2 linked regions of the Coturnix japonica genome follow. The protein of the gene in region 1 binds, or shares a complex with, the protein of each later gene. Links are inferred from orthologs where the notes say so. Each region holds a gene or a part of one and is shown on either strand. Other genes may lie near its edges. The genes, in order: HCN2 and PEX5L.

The links.
Region 2: the proteins of HCN2 (region 1) and PEX5L are in contact, whole or in part, in a crystal structure (PDB 4EQF), measured with the Mus musculus proteins. The link is inferred for Coturnix japonica from reciprocal best matches to the Homo sapiens genes HCN2 and PEX5L. Residues at the interface, in NP_032252.1 of Mus musculus: Leu859, Ser860, Ser861, Asn862, Leu863; in NP_001156988.1 of Mus musculus: Glu315, Glu317, Val343, Asn347, His426, Asn453, Arg454, Ala457, Thr458, Ala460, Asn461, Tyr472, Arg484, Tyr487, Asn488, Ile491, Ile494, Ile537.

What each region holds. Positions count from the first base shown.
Region 1 is NC_029543.1:1,783,390-1,793,264, forward strand, and holds the start of HCN2 (potassium/sodium hyperpolarization-activated cyclic nucleotide-gated channel 2), read left to right. Parts: upstream 1-5,143; coding exon 5,144-5,583; intron 5,584-9,875. Other genes in the region: BSG (basigin), read left to right, coding at 1,424-1,448, 1,774-1,831. UniProt on the Homo sapiens protein: Hyperpolarization-activated ion channel that is permeable to sodium and potassium ions. Displays lower selectivity for K(+) over Na(+) ions. Contributes to the native pacemaker currents in heart (If) and in neurons (Ih).
Region 2 is NC_029524.1:15,206,847-15,216,756, forward strand, and holds the start of PEX5L (PEX5-related protein), read left to right. Parts: upstream 1-4,179; 5' UTR 4,180-4,525; coding exon 4,526-4,546; intron 4,547-9,910. UniProt on the Homo sapiens protein: Accessory subunit of hyperpolarization-activated cyclic nucleotide-gated (HCN) channels, regulating their cell-surface expression and cyclic nucleotide dependence.

The sequences.
Region 1 (9,875 bases):
CTTTAATCTGTTCAGAAAACATGGCTCCTCCCTTTCCTTATCAGTAGGAATCTTCATTGTGTTAACCAGCTTTTCCTTCCTTATCTGATCCCATTAACAATGAAGTATAGATGCTTGGTATCCTTCCTGTTTGCTAGGTCAATCACTTCAGCCCTTTGCTGGGGAGCAGCACACATCAGGTGCACTGAGTGCTATGAAAGGGGAAGCAGAGAGACTAGGACTAAATGTTCCTCCCCTGACTGTGGGAGCTTCAGGAATTCAACTCAAGGCAGTTTTGTGAGTGAATCTGTTTCCTCTGACAGCCCTGGTTGGAAGGCAGGTGTCTCATGTATAGCTGTGTCTCTGAGCAAAAGAAAAGCTATAACTGGTTCACAGAATGCTTTGGCTTCTGCTGACGTCAGCTGGGTCTGGGTCCTGTTTGATGCTGATCAGTCAGAGCTGTAGGAGATCCTTTAACAGATGAAGATGGGATGTGTGATGCTGAAAGGTCCTGACACCCTCCCACCCTCTGGCTCATCAGCCAGAGATCTTCAGCACTTGAGAACCTGAGCTTGTGGGCGAGGAAACAGCTCAGTATGTGACACCCTTTACAACAGGGCAATATAAAGCCCCCAAAATCTTTGTAGATTTGCCCTTCTTGAGAGGAGCTGACAGGAGGGGAGTGCTGGGCCAGCTCAGACAAATGCTGTTCCCCAGGCATATGGTAGTGGGCTGGCAATTCTCTATTACCCAGAGTGGGAAGTCTAACTTGGGTATGGCATAATATCCTTGCTGGTGTTATCTTTCCACTCTTTCCTCCCCTGCTGCTGGATACTAACTTGCCTGGTAAGAACTGGGAGGTGGCTCCAGCTGTGCTCCTGCATCATCCTCTCACCAGCTCTGTGTGCATATGTTGGGTCCGAGGCAGCCCCAGTGCTCAGAGCAGTGCTGTTCTGCTGCAGAGGCAATGGAGCCTTAAGGGGGAAGTGGCAGAATGCAAGGAGCTGGTGAAAGGACACGGTGTCTTCTTAGCTGAGTTTCTCCACGTAGCAACAATGTGGTGTGCAGTGTATTTGTTATGATTTCACAGCGTGTGTGGGGAGGACGAGGGCTTATTGATGCTTAAAGCCTTGTTCCTGAAGCCTCCTGCATAACAGGAGCTTATGTCTAAGCTCGCTCCTTGTCCAAGCACAGGCAAGAAGCAGCTTAAAGCTCATGCAAGGCTGTGGTGTTCCGATAAGCCCTCCCTGCTCTCCCAGGCCCTGCTGAAACAACCATGTGAGTTCAGTGCTGTTCAGACTGTGGTGCCCAATGTGTCCAGTAACTTACCTGGGTTGCTTAGCCCTGGGGCTCCAAGGAGTGGAGGAGTCATAGATAACTTCATGTTTGTTCTTCTTTGACACAATTCTTTCTTTCTTTTTCCTGTGCTGTCCTGGACATGAAGATGATGATGGAGGCTCTGCGCCACTGTAAGTGCCTTGCTTTTCTGTTTAGTCAGTTAGTATTGCCAGATTGCATTCATTGGGGAATCTACTCTGAGCATAAGAGCTAACTGAATGTAAGAGCTGGCTGCTGCAGGAGCTTCCTGGGAGCTGTTTCCTCCATGTTTTTTTAATGTGGCCTCTATAGAAGCAGAATACTACTTAGAACAGCACAAATGTCTCCAAAACTGATTGTTCTGGAAGCTAACCTCATATTGCTCTATCTCACCCAACTCTTAGTGCACAAACCACACCAGTGGGGCAGGGGTGGGTTTTGGTGCTGCTTTCTTCATCGTCCCTTTTCTATTTGCAGGAAAAGCAATGCCACAAACCACAAGGACAAGAACGTCCGTCAGAGAAATGCTAACTGAGCAGAGGTTAGTGCTGCACCTGGGGGTTCCTGCTGGGTTGGGGCACCCTGGGGACCTGCTGGGTCAGCTTTCCCCTCCCTGCAGCCATGGGCTCATCCTGCTGGTTATAGGGGGCTGTCCTGCATCAAGAAGAGCCTTTAACCCACACTGTAGTGCAAGTGCTTGGGAAGGAGGCATTGCTATGAAGTTCAGGCACAGGCCAGCAGGAGTCTGATAAGGAACTGCTAAATTGGGACAGTGGGAGAGACATGGAATAAAGCATTGGGCTGTACAGCATGGGAGGGTCAGGGCTGCCTGATTCCTCCAGCATGGGGTGGGTTGAGCTCACAGCTTTGCTTAAGGCAGCTGTTGTCCTTATCCTTTATCACCTCCCAGCACAGCCTCGCTGGGTTCCCTAATTTCCTTTTCTTTTCTCTTGCACCAGGTGACGTGTAGCTGAAGAACTTTGTCTGGACATTGTTTTCTTCTCATTTTTCTTTGGTAAAATAGCACCAGGAAATACTTAGCGTGTCCTTCAGTTACTTCACTTTCTACAGGAAATTAAGTCGTAGAATCTAAAACACACCCTTTTTTTTTTGGGAAAAAAGAATAAAAGGAAGAGCTGTGGGAGGGTTTTGGGTTGTTTTTCTACCTGTAAGCATAAATCCCTTTTATTTTCTGGTAGTTTGGATCACTGTCATAGATGTATTTCTTTATGTAGGGGGGTAATGCTTTCTTTCTTACCTTTGGGAAGAGCTGTGTTGGGTAGGATGACTTTGTAATACCTCTGTGTATGAGGAGCAGCAACATCACAGCTCCCTGTGTGCTGCAGGTCAGGAAGAAACTGCTGTAGTAACCTATGGAGATGAGCTGATCTCCCAATGGGCTTAAGAAAGTAACTCTGGGTCTTTCCCAGTGCAGAGCATAGATAGCTGCATCTTTGCATGGCTTGGGAGCAGCCTGCATGGCTTGTAATTGCCAGGCTTCCTGGTCAGCTCCCACAGGGATGCTCTGCGTGATTACAATCAAGCAGGCAACCAGGAAGCAGTGTTAGAGCTGGGCATTGGCTGAGCATGATAATAACTCATTTAATGGGTGGCTGCTGGAATCTTGAGTTGCTACACTGGAGTGAGCAGATGCTGGGGCTGAGGTGCTGGGGGAGAAGGGGGGTTTGCATTGTGTTCTGTTCACATTTGGGGTGACAAAGGAGACTGAGAGCAGATAATAATCAGAGGATTCTTTCTTTCTGGGTAGCACTGAGCTGATCCATCTGTTAACGTACTTCACAAATAAAGATGATTCCTCTCTTTTTTTCCATCTTGGTTTGGACTCTGGTCTCTCTCTTCCCTCCTGGCTGGGCCCCCTGGGTTTGTTATCCTGCTTTGACCCCTGCCTGGCAGCTCTTCATAGAGCACACAAAGGTTTTGGCTCCCAGGGTCTCCTGCCAGCTCTATCTGCTCTCTAATCACAGTGTTACACTGAGTCAGGTTCAAACCCTTCCAAAAGGAGTTAAGTGGAGCTTCCTGAGGAGCACTGCTGTTTTTCTACCTGTTTTCATGGTTCTTGCCCTGCTGTGTGGTTACTCATGGCTCTAAGCAGCTGATGGGCACTGTGTGCATTATGTAGATATGGAGACAAGCCAAAGGGAAGCACACACCAACCCCTTGGGTATGGGCTATGAGCACTGTGGTGTCTTTCCAGGCAAGCTCTGGCTTTTTGCCCTATGGCAGCTGGGCTTGTGGGTTCCTGGAGATTCTGATCTTGTGTTCTCAGTTGTTTGGGTGTTCATCTAACTGTCCAAGCGGGGCTGGGTGAGCAAATGGGCTGCAGCAGGTAGAGGCAATGGGTTACAGTGCAAAAAGCACCAGCAAAAGGCTCAGGAGCCTGAAAGGGCTCTTAAGTTTCATCTGTGTGTTTCCTTTAGGCTGGGAATGAACATACTTAAAGGTGATGGACTCAGCATCAACCACCTGAATACCTGTAGGGAAAGCAATTGGTGCCAATGGCCCTGGCAATAGCTGTGCATGGGGAGCTGCTGGGACTGGTCAGTGCCTGCAATGAAAGGCAGGTGAGGGCAGGCTGGATAAGAGCTGGTAAAAGCAATAAAGCACGGCTGGCTGCTTGACTCCCAGCTGCTGCCTTTGCTGTAATGGGGCTGATGCATGAACATCCTCACTACGAAGTCAAACCCTGTTCTGTTGGGGGGGGATGATTACAGCAGGGCTCTTCCCTTAGTGCTGTGTTGCCTGTAGCTCTGGCAGCCCAGGGCCTTCCTCAAAACGCTGCTGTCTCAGTGTTAGCAGCTCCCATGCCCCGGGCTGACCATGCAGTGTGGCTGTGCTGCACGTCAATGTATTATGCAAGCCCTGGCACAGCCGGCCTCGTGCTTATGGGTGCTGTCCTGGGGGGTGGAGAGAGAGGGGGAAAAAAAAAATCAATGTGTGGCTTAATTTCCTCGTTGAGGATTTGGGACCTGGGCTGCAGCACAAAGCTCTGTTTGTGCCCTTTGTTCTATGGGGCTGGCAATGGGTGAGGAGCAGCTCGGGGTTGGGGGGATGCATGGCTCCGTGCTGCGCTCTGCTGGGCTGCTGTCCCGTTTGTGTCTCTGTCCTGCATTGCTCAGCTGATGGTGTTCCCACCCCATTTGTCCCCGTGTCTCTTGCTCATGTCAGCATGCAATGCTCTGTGTGACTCTGTGTGACTGTGGGGGCTTGGATCAGACAGGGGCAGGTGGGGAATTGAATGATAAAGGTTGGAAAGGACTTGTAATATCACCACATCCCAAGCCATCCCCTCCATGACCATTAACATCCCTCAGTGCTACATCTGCATGTATTTAAACACATCCAGAGGTGATGCCTCCAATGCTTCCCTGGGCAGCCTGTCCCTATTCCATTGCCACTTTCTGAGATGAATTTCTTTCCTAGTATCCAACCTGAACCTAAACCTCATCCTAAAGGCTGCGCTCGAAGGGGCGGCCCCGACTGCAGGTTCCGATCGCGGCTCCCGTTCTATTTGGCCTCTCAGGAGCCGACCCTCTCGTTGCTGATCCCGTGCTCTCCATCCTTCGAACCCTTTGGGCATCTCCATTCGTTGGCCTCGGGGCTGCGCTGAGGGCTCGGGTTGAGCTTCGTCTGTTGCAACGCTGGATGGGAGCGATGTGAGCGCAGCCGGGAGCTGCTCCAGCGGGGGGAGCTGCGGAGCCGCTGCGGTCCCGTCTCCCGGCCCGGCCCTACGACCCGCCCCCGGTCCGCCCCACGGCTCGGCGGCGGGTACCGCTCCGGTACCGCTCGGGTACCACTCGGCCGCCGGTGGCCTCGGCGGCAGCGCACGATGCGATCGGGAGGGGAGGCGGCGGCCGAGGAGGAGGCGGCCGAAGGGGCCAAACGAGGCGGAGGAGCGACCTCGGGGAGAGCGAGGGGCCGAGGGGGAAAGGGATCCCCGAACGGGGAGTGTCGCCGAGGGGAGACGCCGCGCAGCCCCAGCTCCGAGCAGCCCCGGGAGCCCAAGGTCTCCTTCTCCTGCGGTGGTGGTGGTGGCGGTGGCAGCGCATCCCCAGGCGGGGCCAAGGCGGCCGAAGAAGGCGACGATGCGGGCGAGGAGGTTCGGGGGAGCCAAGCCGGGTTCATGCAGAGGCAGTTCGGGGCCATGCTCCAGCCGGGGGTCAACAAATTCTCCTTGAGGATGTTTGGCAGCCAGAAGGCGGTGGAGAGGGAGCAGGAAAGGGTTAAGTCTGCTGGGGTCTGGATCATCCATCCCTACAGCGATTTCAGGTACGTGCCCAGCCGCCCCCCCCCCTCCCCTCTCCTTCCTTCCCTCCCGTGCATCCTCACGGAGCCCCGGGAGCAATTGCGGGTATCGCTGCGGTGGGGCCAGGCTCGAGCATCCCCGGCTCGTCGGGAGGCTTCGGTGAGGGTGGTGGATGGAGAGGGAGAGCGGAGCGTTCCCCCACCGCTTCAGGTTGGGAAGAGGAGGAGGAGAAGGCCGTGCCGTGCCCTGGAGAGGGCACCTTGAGCCGTGCTGGAGGTGGAAGCGGCGGATGCGGCCGCGTGGATGCAGGGAGGGGCTGGAGATGGGCATCCACCTCCTCGGGATCCATCCGGGGATGCCAGGAGCTCTCTGCTTGCCCGGTGGGTGCCCGCACAAGGGCATCCTCTCGTCCTTTGCAGGGCCTCGGAACGGCTCAGCAAGGCAAGGAGACGCTGGAGATCCCGCGGGGGTTGGTTGGGCTCTGCCCCTGTGGCTGTCATTGCGGGGGCTGAGGGGGGAGGTGGAACAGAGCACCCTGGGGTCCTTAAGCCCTGCTATCCTGCTGCAACCTCCACGGCCATGCACAGCTTTGGGAAAGCTTCCCTTCCCCCAAGGAGGCCCAATCCCATCCCTAAGATTCAATGAATATGAAGAGATATTCGTTTTGTTCCCAGGAGGAGCAGTGTCCCCGAGGTGCAGCTTCCAGCTGAGGAATGGCAAAGCCTGGAAGAAAGGTCGTGCAGCACCAGCTTGTGTCCATCTCCCTAATGGGGAGAGATCAGCAGGGAATGCTTGGAGGCTCCCATGGGGATGTAAAGGAGGGACAGCACAACCCTTTTAGGGATGGGAAGCTGAGATCCTGCTGACATCCTTGGCAAGCGAGGCTGATGGGAGCCCCTTATCCAGTGACTGGCCAAAGGCAGGGGGCCAGCAGGCAGCTCAGCACTGAGTCCCTCTGCACTTTCCTAGTGCTTGGAGGGCTGCACTACAGGGCGAGTGAGCATCTGTTGGGGTTCTGTTGAATCCCCTGTGATGCAGAGGTCCTCAGGGCAGTGGAGGAGGCTGTGGAATGAGAGTCTGTGCTGACCAGACAGGATTATGGCAAGGACCAACGCCTGCATCTCTTGGGTCCTGGCCTCACGATGGCTTCTGTGCTGCTCTGCATCCTCTGAGGTGCAAGCAGGGGCAGCTGGAGGCTCCAGTTTGCTCTCCTTGTACACACAGTCGTGCAGCCACGGGGCTGATATTCCTGCCCAGATCCCACTGCGGGTGCTGCCCCTCCTTGCTGCAGAGTCAGGGTGTGAGTGCTGCGTGGCTTTGCCGGTCACAAGGGTGCTCTCATGGGGGCTGCACCATCCTGCTGTGACCACCTTTATCCCCAAGCCATGTGGGTTCCCCATCAGCCATGGGTGTTCCTGGGGAGCTGACTCTGGTTTTCACCTCTCTTAGTCTCAGGGCTCTCAGGAATAGGGTGAATGTGTGGCCTCACTGTCCCCATGCTGACAGTGCTGGTGTGACATCAAGCTGGCATCACTCAGAGCTGGATCCTCTCTGCAGGCGACCTTGGGGGTGTCACCCTGCCACTCTGTCCCCTCCCAGAGCTTCTGCCATTGAAACCACTGGGGCAGAGCTCCTGTGTGTGCTGTGATGCTGCATGTGGCATATAAGAGTTCCCTGCTTGGTGGGGAGGAGCCACGAGGAGAACCAATGCGTTATCCCCAACCTAACAATGTGCAAAATAAACAAGATTGGTTCAGTGTGGGGCTGGGAGCTCAGCAGTGAGGAGCCCACTCCACTCATGCATGCTTGGTACGTATGCCTATGTATTTCACATCGTTCCCATCAATGTATATATAGATATATATATATGTGCTATCTGATAATGATAATGGGAACATGGACACATCCATGTTTGCCCTGTTCAAAGCCCATTTTCTTATCTTAAGATATAACCATTGCCCATCTGCATATGTGACATCATTTCATAATCAGAGGCATTTGGAGGTCTGTTTCCTCGTGGACTCAGCAGTGATTATTCATGCAGAATTTAGGGGCAGATTTGCTCCGGGAACAAAAGTGGCTGTTTACATAAATACTGAATTATTAGGAAGCAGCACGGGTGGCTGTTTGAGATCATGGGCTGCAAATCTGATCAAAGAAACCTCATCCATCGTGCAGGAGGTAACGTTGAGCAGAGCCACCTCATTGCTGGGCTCTGTGATGGGTTGTCATTTCTCCTTCTGGTCTATAGGGATGGAGGAAATAAAGGGCAGGCAATGATGTTAACATGAGCTCTGTGTTTTTGTGTAGCTTGAGTTGGAGCAGGGCTGGGAGTCAGGGTCAGTTGTGGGCTAAGCTTTGCAGTGAATCTGGGTTTGCTGTTGAACCAGGTGCTGTATTTGCATCCTGATAAGGACCTGAGTGAGTGTCTCATGGCTGGGGGTTGGAACTGGAGGAGCACAGTGTTTTTTGCAGCAGGATCAGGGAGCTGTGGGGTGCTGGGGGTCCCTTCCCATTGGAGACATGAATGAGCTCAGTAGGATCCTTCAGCCCCAGAAGGAGGGCTCAGCCTTGGAGCTGCATTAGTAACATGAGCTGCACGCAGGGGTGGTTCATTGGATCACGATGGACCCTGCTGCCCTCAGCATCACTTTGCCTGCTGCTGCTGTTGGCTTTCTGCTCCCTGTGCCCAGTGCAGGGCTGGCACTGTCTGCTGCCACCTCCCTCATGCTGGAGTGAAATGGCTCCTGCTGCTCCACTGCTGGCTGCCAGCTGTGTGCCCTGCAGGGTGACCTGGCCTTGCTCTGAATCCCAATGGGAACAATGTAAATGCCACTGCTAGGTGCTTGCTGACGATCCCACTGTTAATTATCCCCGATGACAGCAGCTGGGAACAGGATGAATGTGAGCACAGCAGACCTGATGGATGGCTGAAAGCCACAGCTTACTCATCAGGAAAAAAAGGCTGTGACTGCCTGCCTGGGGGTGACTTTACAGGTTGGTGCCTTTGAGCATTTTGCAAATATAATATACAATATATGCCTCTGCTTGGGCCCAGCTCCTGGTGGTGGCTTCGTAACCCACTTTTCCACGTGTCCTCAATTCGAAGGAACTTTGTATATTTGTGACAGGTTTGTGAATCGCTGCTCCCGCTGTGTGAGCTGTGATGCCTGCACGGTCCCTGTAGTGGTTGCATTCTGTGCTGGGGCAATAGAAGTGAATGGGGACATCCCCTACCCTCTCTTCCCATTGGGGATGGGGTCCTGGGCTCCTTTAGCTGCTGCTGGTGGTGGGTTGGGGCAGCTGATGGAGTGAGGACAGGCACTATACCCACCCTCAGTGTCTGCCAGCATCTCCTGTGGTTCAATTAGGTCAGAAGTAAAGGAGATGGGGGAGGTAGGGGGGGGCAAGGATCCTAATTAATTTATTTTGGGATATTTTTAGCAACCTGGACTGAATCTTATCTTTTATGCACACGCTGCCCTCCAAAGAACAAAGCATTGGTGTTGCAGCAGGGGTTGCTCGGGATCAGCCCTGTCTCTATTGGGTTGAGACTGTCTCTGTTAAGGTGCTCAGGACCAGTTGCTCTTTCCAGGCCCTCATTCCCCTCTATGGGGTCCTGCAACCTCAGCATCGCAGTAGAGCCTCGGTGCCCCCCACCCACTCACCATCACCCCCCCTATGTCACCAAGGGCTGCACTGTTCCAGCAGCCAGATCTGGTCCTTGGGGTTGGCTGTGAAGGGAAGAGCACAGCCTGTCCCTTTCAGGCTGCCAGCTTGTGGAGGGGCACTGGGTGTGAAGTCATGGTTGTGCAGCAGTGACATCACTTGTGGTTGCCATGGCTATGTCTCACATGGGGAAGGTGTCATTGGAGAAAGGTCACAAGCTGGGATATGCTCAGCTCCTTCCAACCCTATACCAAGTGCGGGGGGAAGGTGGGCAGCTTGGCCCCGCATGGAGCTGCAGCCCTGACAACAACGGGGCTGAATGTCCTGCTGTGACCTTGGTGCATGCAGGAAGGACATGGGCGGAAGGATGAGAGCCAGGAGAAGTGGGGGGCTGAGGCAGCAGTGATGCAGAAGGGAGGGGGAGGCATTTTGATCACTCCTTCCTTGTTCTCCCTCCTTGCTCCAGCTGCAGCTGGACGTGACCATCTGCTGTTCCCCCCCCTACACACCCCTGTAGAGTCCCCCATTGGGTTCTGGCAGGGATGTGGAGTGCTGGTGCTTGAGGTTCCCCAGCCATAATAACCCACTCTCAAGGTCTCCCCAAATTGCTTCAGAGCTTGTCTGGCTTTTGGTGCTGACTCAGTCA
Region 2 (9,910 bases), on another chromosome or scaffold:
GGTAGCTACAATCTCATTCTATTTGTTACTGTGACTTGTGGTTTCTACACTGAGTCTTGTTAATTAAATGCTTCATACGCATCATTAACAAAACTTTCAGCTTTTTAAAATTAATTTTGGGTTATGCGTTGCTCAAGTTTGTTATTCATTATAGTACACAAAGCACCTCAAACACCTCCTTTATGTGCCTTCCCTAAAGACGCCTAAATCACGGTAGCGTGTAAAAGTAAATACACAAATAGAAATAATTAGCACTTCTATCAGTGTGTGGTTGTACTGCTCATACCTTACTGCAATTAGAAGAAAAAGTCTAAATACAGTGTAATTAGAATCTGCCACACCAACAATATTATAAATAAATAAACATATTATTTTTAATGCTATGTTACTAATGAGATTTGAGACTATTAGTGCGTTAAATACTGAGCCCAATTTTCATGGGTTTTGCACTTCACTTGACTGTAAGAATAAAGCAGGTTTTTGGGGGGTCTATGTTTGCAGAAAATTAGGCCAATTATTTTCAGTTAGCAATAAAATGCTGTTTATGAAAATATTCGTTAGTATTAAGGTCAGCAAAGATCTATTTCTTAATAAAATTTGTAGATTAGGTCTCAATGAACCCAACGAGTTTCCACATATATAAATTACTTATCTCCATGGTTACATGAGCTCATAGACTGATGTTTTATTTAAGGTATATGCATCACAACATTAATCTCCTACTGAACAAAGCAGCAAATCTGTGTCTTTATGACCAAACATATGTTCCCATTGGGTGCTGGCAACAGAATCCATTGCCATACACGAGAAATACCAAACGGTTCAGAGAATCTCACACTGCACAGCAGAGCAGTGGAGACAAAAACTGGCTGTGCACGCACAGAACTGAGTTCCCCAAAGTTCTCTCTTAAAGTTTTGTTTCTGGAGCTGCAGGAACGCAGCATATCACAGGAAACAGCTGCCTCCAATGGCACTGAAAATCACTCTCAATTTCACCCTCTTCCATTGAGCACTTTTCATTGCACACAGCTTATAGCTATGGGAACTTCTCCTTCAGATTAACTGCGTCCCACATTCAGAAAGGTGTCCCTGCTGGAGAAGAGCACTTCAGTAGATGTTTCACACTGAGTATACATTTGCTACATTTCCTACACTAGAACATTCAGGTCTGTGTATGGTTGCGTGGCTTCCCTAACAAAAATTGTGACTTGCCCTTGCTGTGTGGTATCTTGCCATAGAAAACACAGACTCATTCATGTTAGTTTGTTAATGACAAATACTGTGACACTAGTTATTAACCTGGAGCCTATGTGCTTCACCTTTTGTGGTTTCAGAGCTGATGAGATAAAACTATTTCTTAGATGTCCTGGATGAAATAAACATTAGTAAGGCCTAAAAGAATGAAATACCAGCAGCTATCGAAAATCAAAATGCCTCCCAGTGGGAGTTAAATGTCAGCTTCTTGATGGTAATGAGGTAACTACCAGAACCTCCAAAAACACCTTGGGCAGGTCTGTAAATGCTCTCACAATCCCATTGTCATCCCTAGGCTTCCTGATTACCCTCATTGCCCCACATAAGTACTTGAAAACAAATTCTGAGCATTTATTTGTGAAATAAAGGATTTTTATTTGACTTTTAGCTAATTTTCCCCCATCAGTTTAATATTAATTAAAGTCTGTTGAGCCATATGGTGACTCTTCTTTAACAAACATTATGACTTTCATATTTTTCACCATGGTTTTTCCCATTTTTGCCATAACAAACAACAAAGCTTAGAGAGCTCACAGCACACAGATATCACTGGTTCAAGTCTTATTGCAGGCACACAAACTGCTATTAAAGGAACACAACAGAAAAAATGCTTTTCACAGAAACAAATGTTTTTAAAGCATTTTATGCAAGCAAACCCTGCGTAATTAAACATGCCCTATAACAAAACAGACCTTTACGCAGAGCAGAGTCACAAACAGCATGGATGCTGGCATTCACCATTTTCAAAGCTGCAAAGCCCTTATATTACACACCAGAACTGCAAACTAATATTTTCTGCCCCACATCCTGTGGCACATTTTTGATATTTTTATTTATAACTAAGCATTAATTATTATGCATCAGTTTCAGATTAGGAAGAGACAGAGAGAAAAACATGCTTAAGCTTAAGCTTCCTCTGGTGAATATAGCTGGAGCAACAGCAGTTTACAACTGGGGAAGCACGGTGCAACATGTACGTGATTTGCACTGAAGGATATTTAAAGAACAGCTCTTGGAGCAGAAACTGCTGCCATTCAACCAGTGATGCACACCCCCCCCCACTGCTTCCCCACTGCTCTGACTGCTGCTGTGTAACCTATTCCTCTTACTGTCTGGTGCCAAGTGACTTGAGTTCCCTGCTGAAAAGAAAGCCAGAAGCTGGATCCACCTGACATTCCTGGGTCCACCTGATCCTGAAAAATGCAGCATCAGTATGCCACTGTATCAACAAATGGAGCAACCAGTGCAGCCACTTCTGCTGAATAAAGAAAAAAAACCTACTTCAAAACACACTATGCTACAAAACCTCACATCTAGCACTGGGTCTTGCCAAATTTTACCAGTGTTTGCCTGGGAGGAAGGATGGAAGGGGGGCAGGAAGGAAAGGAGAAAGGAGGGAAGGAAGAAATCTTCAAAGAAAGCTTGTGAACCAGCTCAATGAGAGCAAAAAGAGTGCAGACACACGACGACTAGAGGCTTGAGAGCCTAACGCCTCTCTGTTTAACAAACAGCAGAGACACCAAGGCTCCAAGTTTATATAGAAGCAGCTAATTTTCATCTACACTTATCTTCTACACTGAGCACAGGGACTTCTCTTTGTAAAATCTATATTCTATATTTTATACCTTAAGTCAAACCACAATAATTCACATCCAATCTTGCCACTGATATGCAGTCAATTTCTGTATTACAAAGTAGCATTTCACAGTAAAATACATCTAATGCATACAGACAATCCCCAGAAACATATTTTAAGCGCATTTGCTCTTAATTGAGGTTTTCAAAGTAGCTTAAGGGATTTAGGTAGAAAAATATTCATTTTGCATTTCTTTTTTATCATCAACACATGAATAAACTCTCAGGCTGCATGAAAACCTTGGCAAGCTGGATGCACATTCATTGGATGTAAGACAACTGCCTCCTTTGCTATATGAAGGATAAAATGATAAGGTTAAGCAAAAGAAAAGGCTAGATTTTGCTGGTGCCATTCCTGATGACTTTACAAATCCCACCCCTTCCACACACCTTTCCCCCTCTCCCCTCCCCCCTTTTTTAGTTAAATATGAACATTTCAGTAAAACTGTGACTATACAGATGTGACAGCTCCAGGAATGAGAAACCTACTTTACACTGCTCTAATAGCAGAAGATGCTTGGGGTTAGTTTGCTGTGGTCACTCCGACGCAACATAAAAGTTCTGGGGAGTTTATCAGCAAAACTAGAGAGCTCAGAGCCGAAAAATCACAGCATCCAGCAAATGTCAGGCACTGAATGCTTATTGTGCTACTGAATACAGGTACGTCTACACCTACATTTTTTATCACATTGGAAGTTAAAGGTCTGAGGAAAGGGAAAGGGAAAAAAAGCTCGATCCAAGGCAAGGTGAGCAGCAGCTTCAGGACGCCGCAGGCCCGATGTGCCAGTTTACATACAAGGTCACCGCGCTGCTCCGGGACACCCAACTCTCCCCGCACCGCAGCAGCAGCTGCACGGGGGAGCGGGGCGGCCGGGAGGGGCGGGGCGCTCCGACTTTTGGTGGTGCTGTCACGCTTACGTTTTGACACGTACACGTATATTTCATTTCAATTTTTAAAAAAAATTTAATATTATTATTTTAAGCGTTATCGCTACTCTTTATATTCCTTGCTGCAGCGGAAGCCCGCAGGCCCCAGCGGGGCTGCAGCTCCCCGGGACCCGCTTCGCTCCGCGGGCTCCGCGCGTCCCCCGGAAGCCGCGCGCTCCCTCTGCGGCCGGAGGGAGGCAGGGAAGGAGGGAGGAAGAGTGAGAGGAGGAGAAGAGGAGGAGGGCGGCGGAGGCCGGGGCCGGGCGGGGCGGCGGCAGCATCGGGCCGAGCCCAGGCCCGGCAGCGGGCGGCCCCGCTCCGCCCCGCGGCGCTCCCCGCCCGGCGGCCCCGCAGCCGCCGCCGCCGCGGCCCGGCCCGCCCTGCCCTCCCCCCAGCACCCCGCGAGGAACAGCTCCGTGCAGCTTGCGGCACCGCATTGAAGGGGGAGAGAGGGAGAAGAGAGACGAGAGGGGAGGAAGGAGGGAAGGAAGCAGCCCGCCTGGTCGGGTTACCGAGAGCAATACGGGAGCTTCCAGGACAAACTGAATCTTTCCCAAAAATAGCTCTTCCAGGGTTAGGCTCTTTTTTTCTTTTATTCTTTTTTTTTTTTTTTTTTTTTCCCTTTCAGCCGAGCGCACAGGAGAGGTGCCCCCTCCCAGCGTGCACCCGACCCGCCGGCCTGAGGGGCACCCGCAGCACAGCCGGCAGAATGTACCAGGGCCACATGCAGGTAAGAGGCTGCACGCAGCCGGACAGCAGCAGCAGTGCAGGCGGCTCCGCCGGAACGGGTCCCTGCGAAGTTTCCGCGGGGTGAGCGGGGGGTGTGGAGGGGGATGGCACAGGGCACCGTGCAACAAGTGAGACGGGGCCGAGCGAGGGGGACAGCGCGCCTGGGGGCAGCTCTGCTCAAAGGGGGAGGGCGGCAAAGGGGCGCGCTCAACTTTCTAACTAGATGAAGTTGTGTATTTATTGATGTATAGTGCCTGCTTGTTCACACAGATTCGAGGGAGCATTCCAGGGCAAACGCTGCTATGGCACGCTTTAAGTGACACATGGCTCTTGCCATCTTCTTGATGCATCTCTTCCTGTATGTCAAGTGAAGGACAAACAATAAGGGAAAAGACAGAGCACTTGCTTTGCAAAATCTGCAAAGATTTCATGTCACACTGAAGCTGTTGATTTGCACAATGTGTTGTGTTAAAAGGTGATGGATTTCTATTTCCTCCTTCCCAACGTGGGATGAGGATTGATTTTGCTAAGCCCTGGAATGACTTTGTAGAGTGAATTTCAAACACATGTCTAAGTGACTTCAACATTTGAGGCAGAAATCTTGCCTCCTGCTGCTATTGATCCACAGTGCCATAGCAGACAATGCCTCTCCCAAATAAAAACACACGGGTGCCTTGGACGTGATGACTTTAACCTTGGCTCCTGCTCTCCTTCACATGGCTCTTCCCTGGAAAGCCAAAGCTATTTTGAAGGAGAAGGACATGCCAAAGCAGAGCAAAGGTTTACACAGCTCTCCCAAATTTCTTTCTTTGCTTTCAGACCCAATCTGGGTCTGCACTCACTGTGAGGAATGACAAGATGCTTTTATCATGTACAGTGGCACCGGTGGCGTTTGTTAGTACTGAGGCTGTTTGCAGAGCACTGCCGCTCTGGTAGGTGTGAGCTGCCCCCTTCTCTTTGGTGCAACTGCACAGCATTTAAAACCTGCCAGTGGTCATCAGGAACATTCAAGTCAATGTCAAACACAGGAGTGTGGACATAATATGTGTTAAACGAGGATTTGATTCAGCACTCTGACCCAAATGATACCAGTTACTCTTTCATGTTGGTGCTGCCTGATTTCAACAATGATAAATAACGTGTCACAAAGGAGCTTGCCATAGAAGAGCAAATATGTTTTAACAGGAGATGCAATCAATATACATTTTGCTATTTATGATAATAAGATTAAAGCATGCATTGTTTTATGGTAACACAAAAACAATCCTGTTGCAGAAGTTAATGAATTGGATACTGACAAATAAGTATTTATACCCAGAAGAAAGCAGTTCTTTGCTATGGCCAATACACCACAAGGTTTCAACATACAACACTTTTTAAAAGGAAGTGTAGTGGAACACTGAGGTCCCTGGCAACCTTGTAAGCTGTCTCCATCATTAAAAGGCCAAATCAAATTTGCAATTAAAAAACAAACAAACAAAAAACAACAGCTCAAAACACCCTTTCATTTTTGTTTTCTTTCAAAATACATTCATAGCTCAAATGTAACCCAATCCTATCCAAATTCACTTTACAACTTAGCTGATTTAAAATGCTATTCAGATCCACTGCACTTGTCTGCTAAAAAAATAGGAACTCAGCTGAGCACATAAGCCAAGGTTTTTAATATATTTCTGCCCTAACAGGAAACATCAATCTTCTTCAAAAACCACCTAAAAAAAGCTTAAAGCATTAGGAAAAATGTTTGTGTTTACTATATCCTTAATTAGAGCCTTTAAGTGAGTCACAGAAAAGACAATAAAGAGCTAATTAAATTGCAGTGAAATTATCTACTGTAACATTTATTAAACCTCATTAGAACGCAAACTGCCAGTTACCTACAAGCACAGTACCCAACCATTGCTAACCAAAACACAGACACGTCCCAGGCATGACAGGTCCCTTCTGAACACCTTCCAAAACTTTTTGTAAGACCTTTACTAATGTAAGGAAAACTATTTGCAATTACCTGTCAATGTAAAATGAATGCGAACTATAAAACCATTCAGATTTGAGTGGATTAAGTTAGGCACCTAAGTCAATAATACCTGAACTCGTTAATAACAATAATCTGGGTTATCAAGGCTCTGAGCACTCACAGCTTCCGCTGCTTTTGAATGAAATCCTAACTGAGCACCTAAGCATCAAGTGTTACGTATCCTGTTGAAAAGCATGCAGATACATAAAGGTTGACCCCACACACTTTAAGGCGAAAGTTCTTCTGAATGTACAGTGATCAAATTTAGGATCTGATTTAGAATGCCAGCTGTCATTTCCTTTATTCCTTGTGTTTTGGTCTCAGAAGTAAGGTCTGCAGAAATTACTCCTCAATATAATTAGTTAAAAACTTTACAAAGCCAATATTTTATCAATGACCAGCTGTAACTCAGCTAATTCTTCCAGGTCTTCTAAAAACTGAAAACATTATCAACTATCACAACATAATGAACATAATTTCCTCAGACTGCAAACCTGCCTCAAACAGGCATCAAGCATTGTGAGCTTCAGTGGAGCATTTCTGAGTTCAGTGAATTCTGCAGGTGTAGGTGAAATATACTTTGTGTACTGCTGAAGTCACCTGAAATGAAGACATTTGAAGCACTATACTGCATCAGGCCATAGTAAGTGCATCTCTTCTTAAATTTTAGTTTGCAGTACGTTGTTTTTTCTCAGTCTCAGGAAGATACTTGGCTTATCCTGAGGACCTAGGCTTACATTTCCCACTTATAAGTCAATCTTCACAATACAGAAACACTATTTCTAAGCTAAAATCCCAGACAGAGGGGAAAAAAAAACAAAAACAACAGAATAAGGCAATAACCTCACAAGAAGGTGTTACTGGCTCAGCCACTGACTCGATATTCCCCGGTACCGTTCTTAAGGGTTGGTTTCTGATTCCTTCTGCACTGCATGCTTTCACATAAAAGACCAGGAGAAAAGCAACGGCCTTCCACAGAGGCAAGAAACAGAAACAGGATGCAAGGAAGAACACTGCCATGGGAGCTCCCTCACAGCTATTACTCTATCACAACCATTTCATTTTGGTGTACTGTTTACCAGCCTGTTTGTTTCATGTGGCTGAAGCTTGAGCCTTCATGGCAAGGCTTTTGCATGATAAGAACCTGAGATTAGCTGTGCATACCTCCAGTTACATAAGCAGCCCTACTGAATTCCAGGAAAGTCAGATGTTGACAGGACAAAGGCTGATGGCTACAGGGTAATACCTAAGTTACACTTCAGGTAACACCTCAGCAGTTCTAGGGGCCCTCCTGCCTTTTTTGGGATTACAGAGATACGTGACTCCAAATCTGAACTGCACAGGTGAAGGAGAGAGTATTTCTTTACTAGGGCACGTTTACCATCTTCTTCAAGGGAACAATAGCAGGCCAGATGGAAGCAGAACATGAGCTGAGTTCATCCCACAGTCACTGCTCTAAAATGTCTATCATTTTAACAACCAACAATAATACATTTAAAATTTTTCACAGTGTATTTTATACTTGGTATCAATCCCTCCCATTGACTTTTATGATAGCTCTACAAATGGATGGAAAGTAAATGACAATCATAGAATTGGATTTTCAGCAGCTTTCAGCTTCTTAGGAAATACAGAAGAAATGCTTTCAAACCTCTTTGCCTTGATGCTGTACACAGTCAGCTTTCTCCAGCACAAATGCTTGAACAGAAGAGGTGCTTTGCCAAATGCTGGCATGGGATTTTATGTGTTATGTTTGGAAATGGCTTTATTTAGATAAAGCAGAAATCTTGACCACACATGGCTATCAGAGTGAGTTCCTTTGGCACGTTTTTGCAAGAACAGACTCAAAGTGATGATGTGTTGGCCAAGTTCCAGATCAGACAGTTAGTCTCCTCAACTTTTAATTGAATATGCAATCAACTTCATGCCCATAATTGTTGGGTTGCGTTCTGCACTGTTAAAGATACTTAATGTTCTACCATTGGCATTTCACATTTAGATGAAGCCAACCATAATGATCACTCACATTTCTGTAAAATCTCATTATTTAAGCCCAAACATGCAGGACTGCAGTAGGTCTATGAAAAAATCACCATGTATGCATGACAATTCTTGCATAATTAAACTTCAGGGGCTCAACGCGTTTTATTGCACACAAAAAGTGTTGATAAATATTTTAGAAGTTATAAAATACATTTTTGCTCTGATTTCCCAACACTTAAGACACAGTTTCCTCACTGGGAAAAGTGGAGCAGAATGTCACAGAATTAGTTGCTGATGCAAGTCCCATCTTTGCTTATTTGGTACCTATTAAAAATACTGTAACAGCATTGGTTGCACTACTTAAAATAAGTAAAACTCAAGCTATTCATCAATTATGGTTACAAAAATGGAATTGCTCAGCTATGCACTTTGTACATGAATAAAGCAGCCCATAAAAATATGCACAATGTAGAATTGAATTCAATGCTAAATTGAATCTTTGTTCAGCTGTTAAGATCAACAGAAACTTAATGACTTTAAGCTACAAAATTCTACAAGTCTGAGCATGAGCTGGAATGCCAACTGATCCCTAGCGATGTGGATGAATCATAACTCCCAGCCTTACTGAAACTCCATTATGATAAACTGATGATTTTTCATTATTCAAACGTTTTCTAAAAGTACTTACAATACTATGGCAGTGTTTATGGTGGCAGGTTTTCCGTTTTGTTTTGATATTTTCCAATTACTCACTAGTAGCTTTTCAGTTTTTGAAGAGTGGATTATAAACTGCTTATAAATGAAGCAAGCTAAAAATAATGAGTTAGTTTTCATTGAAAGATATTCATACAAAGAGAGTAGGTGATAAACTGCTTTTGGCTAAGAGGCATACCGAAATTATACGAATGCAGAGTATTTGCAGTGCTGGTATGGAAAAGCATTCCTTGAAGCTGCTAGGCAGTCTTACAAGAACCCAGTAGAAAAGCTTACAAAAGGCACATAAGCTCATGGAATTCAGTGTATTTTTGCTGGAAGGGAATTAAGAGGGACTCTTGGAATCAAGAGAAATCCTAAATTGTAAGGGACCCACAAGGATCATTGAGTCCATCTCCTGGTTCCACACAGGACCACCCAAAATCCAAACCCCGTATCTGAGAGCATGTGTCCAGTCACTCCCTGAGCTCCATCAGGCTCAGTGCTGTGACCACATATGTGGGAAGCTTGTTCCACACCCACCATGCTCTCATCAAGAACCTTTTCCCAATGCTCAGCCTGACCCTCCTCTGACACAGCTCCAAGCTGTTCCTTTGAACCTTGCATATTTATCTAAATGATATTCTATTTCAAATATGTAGCTTTCACAAA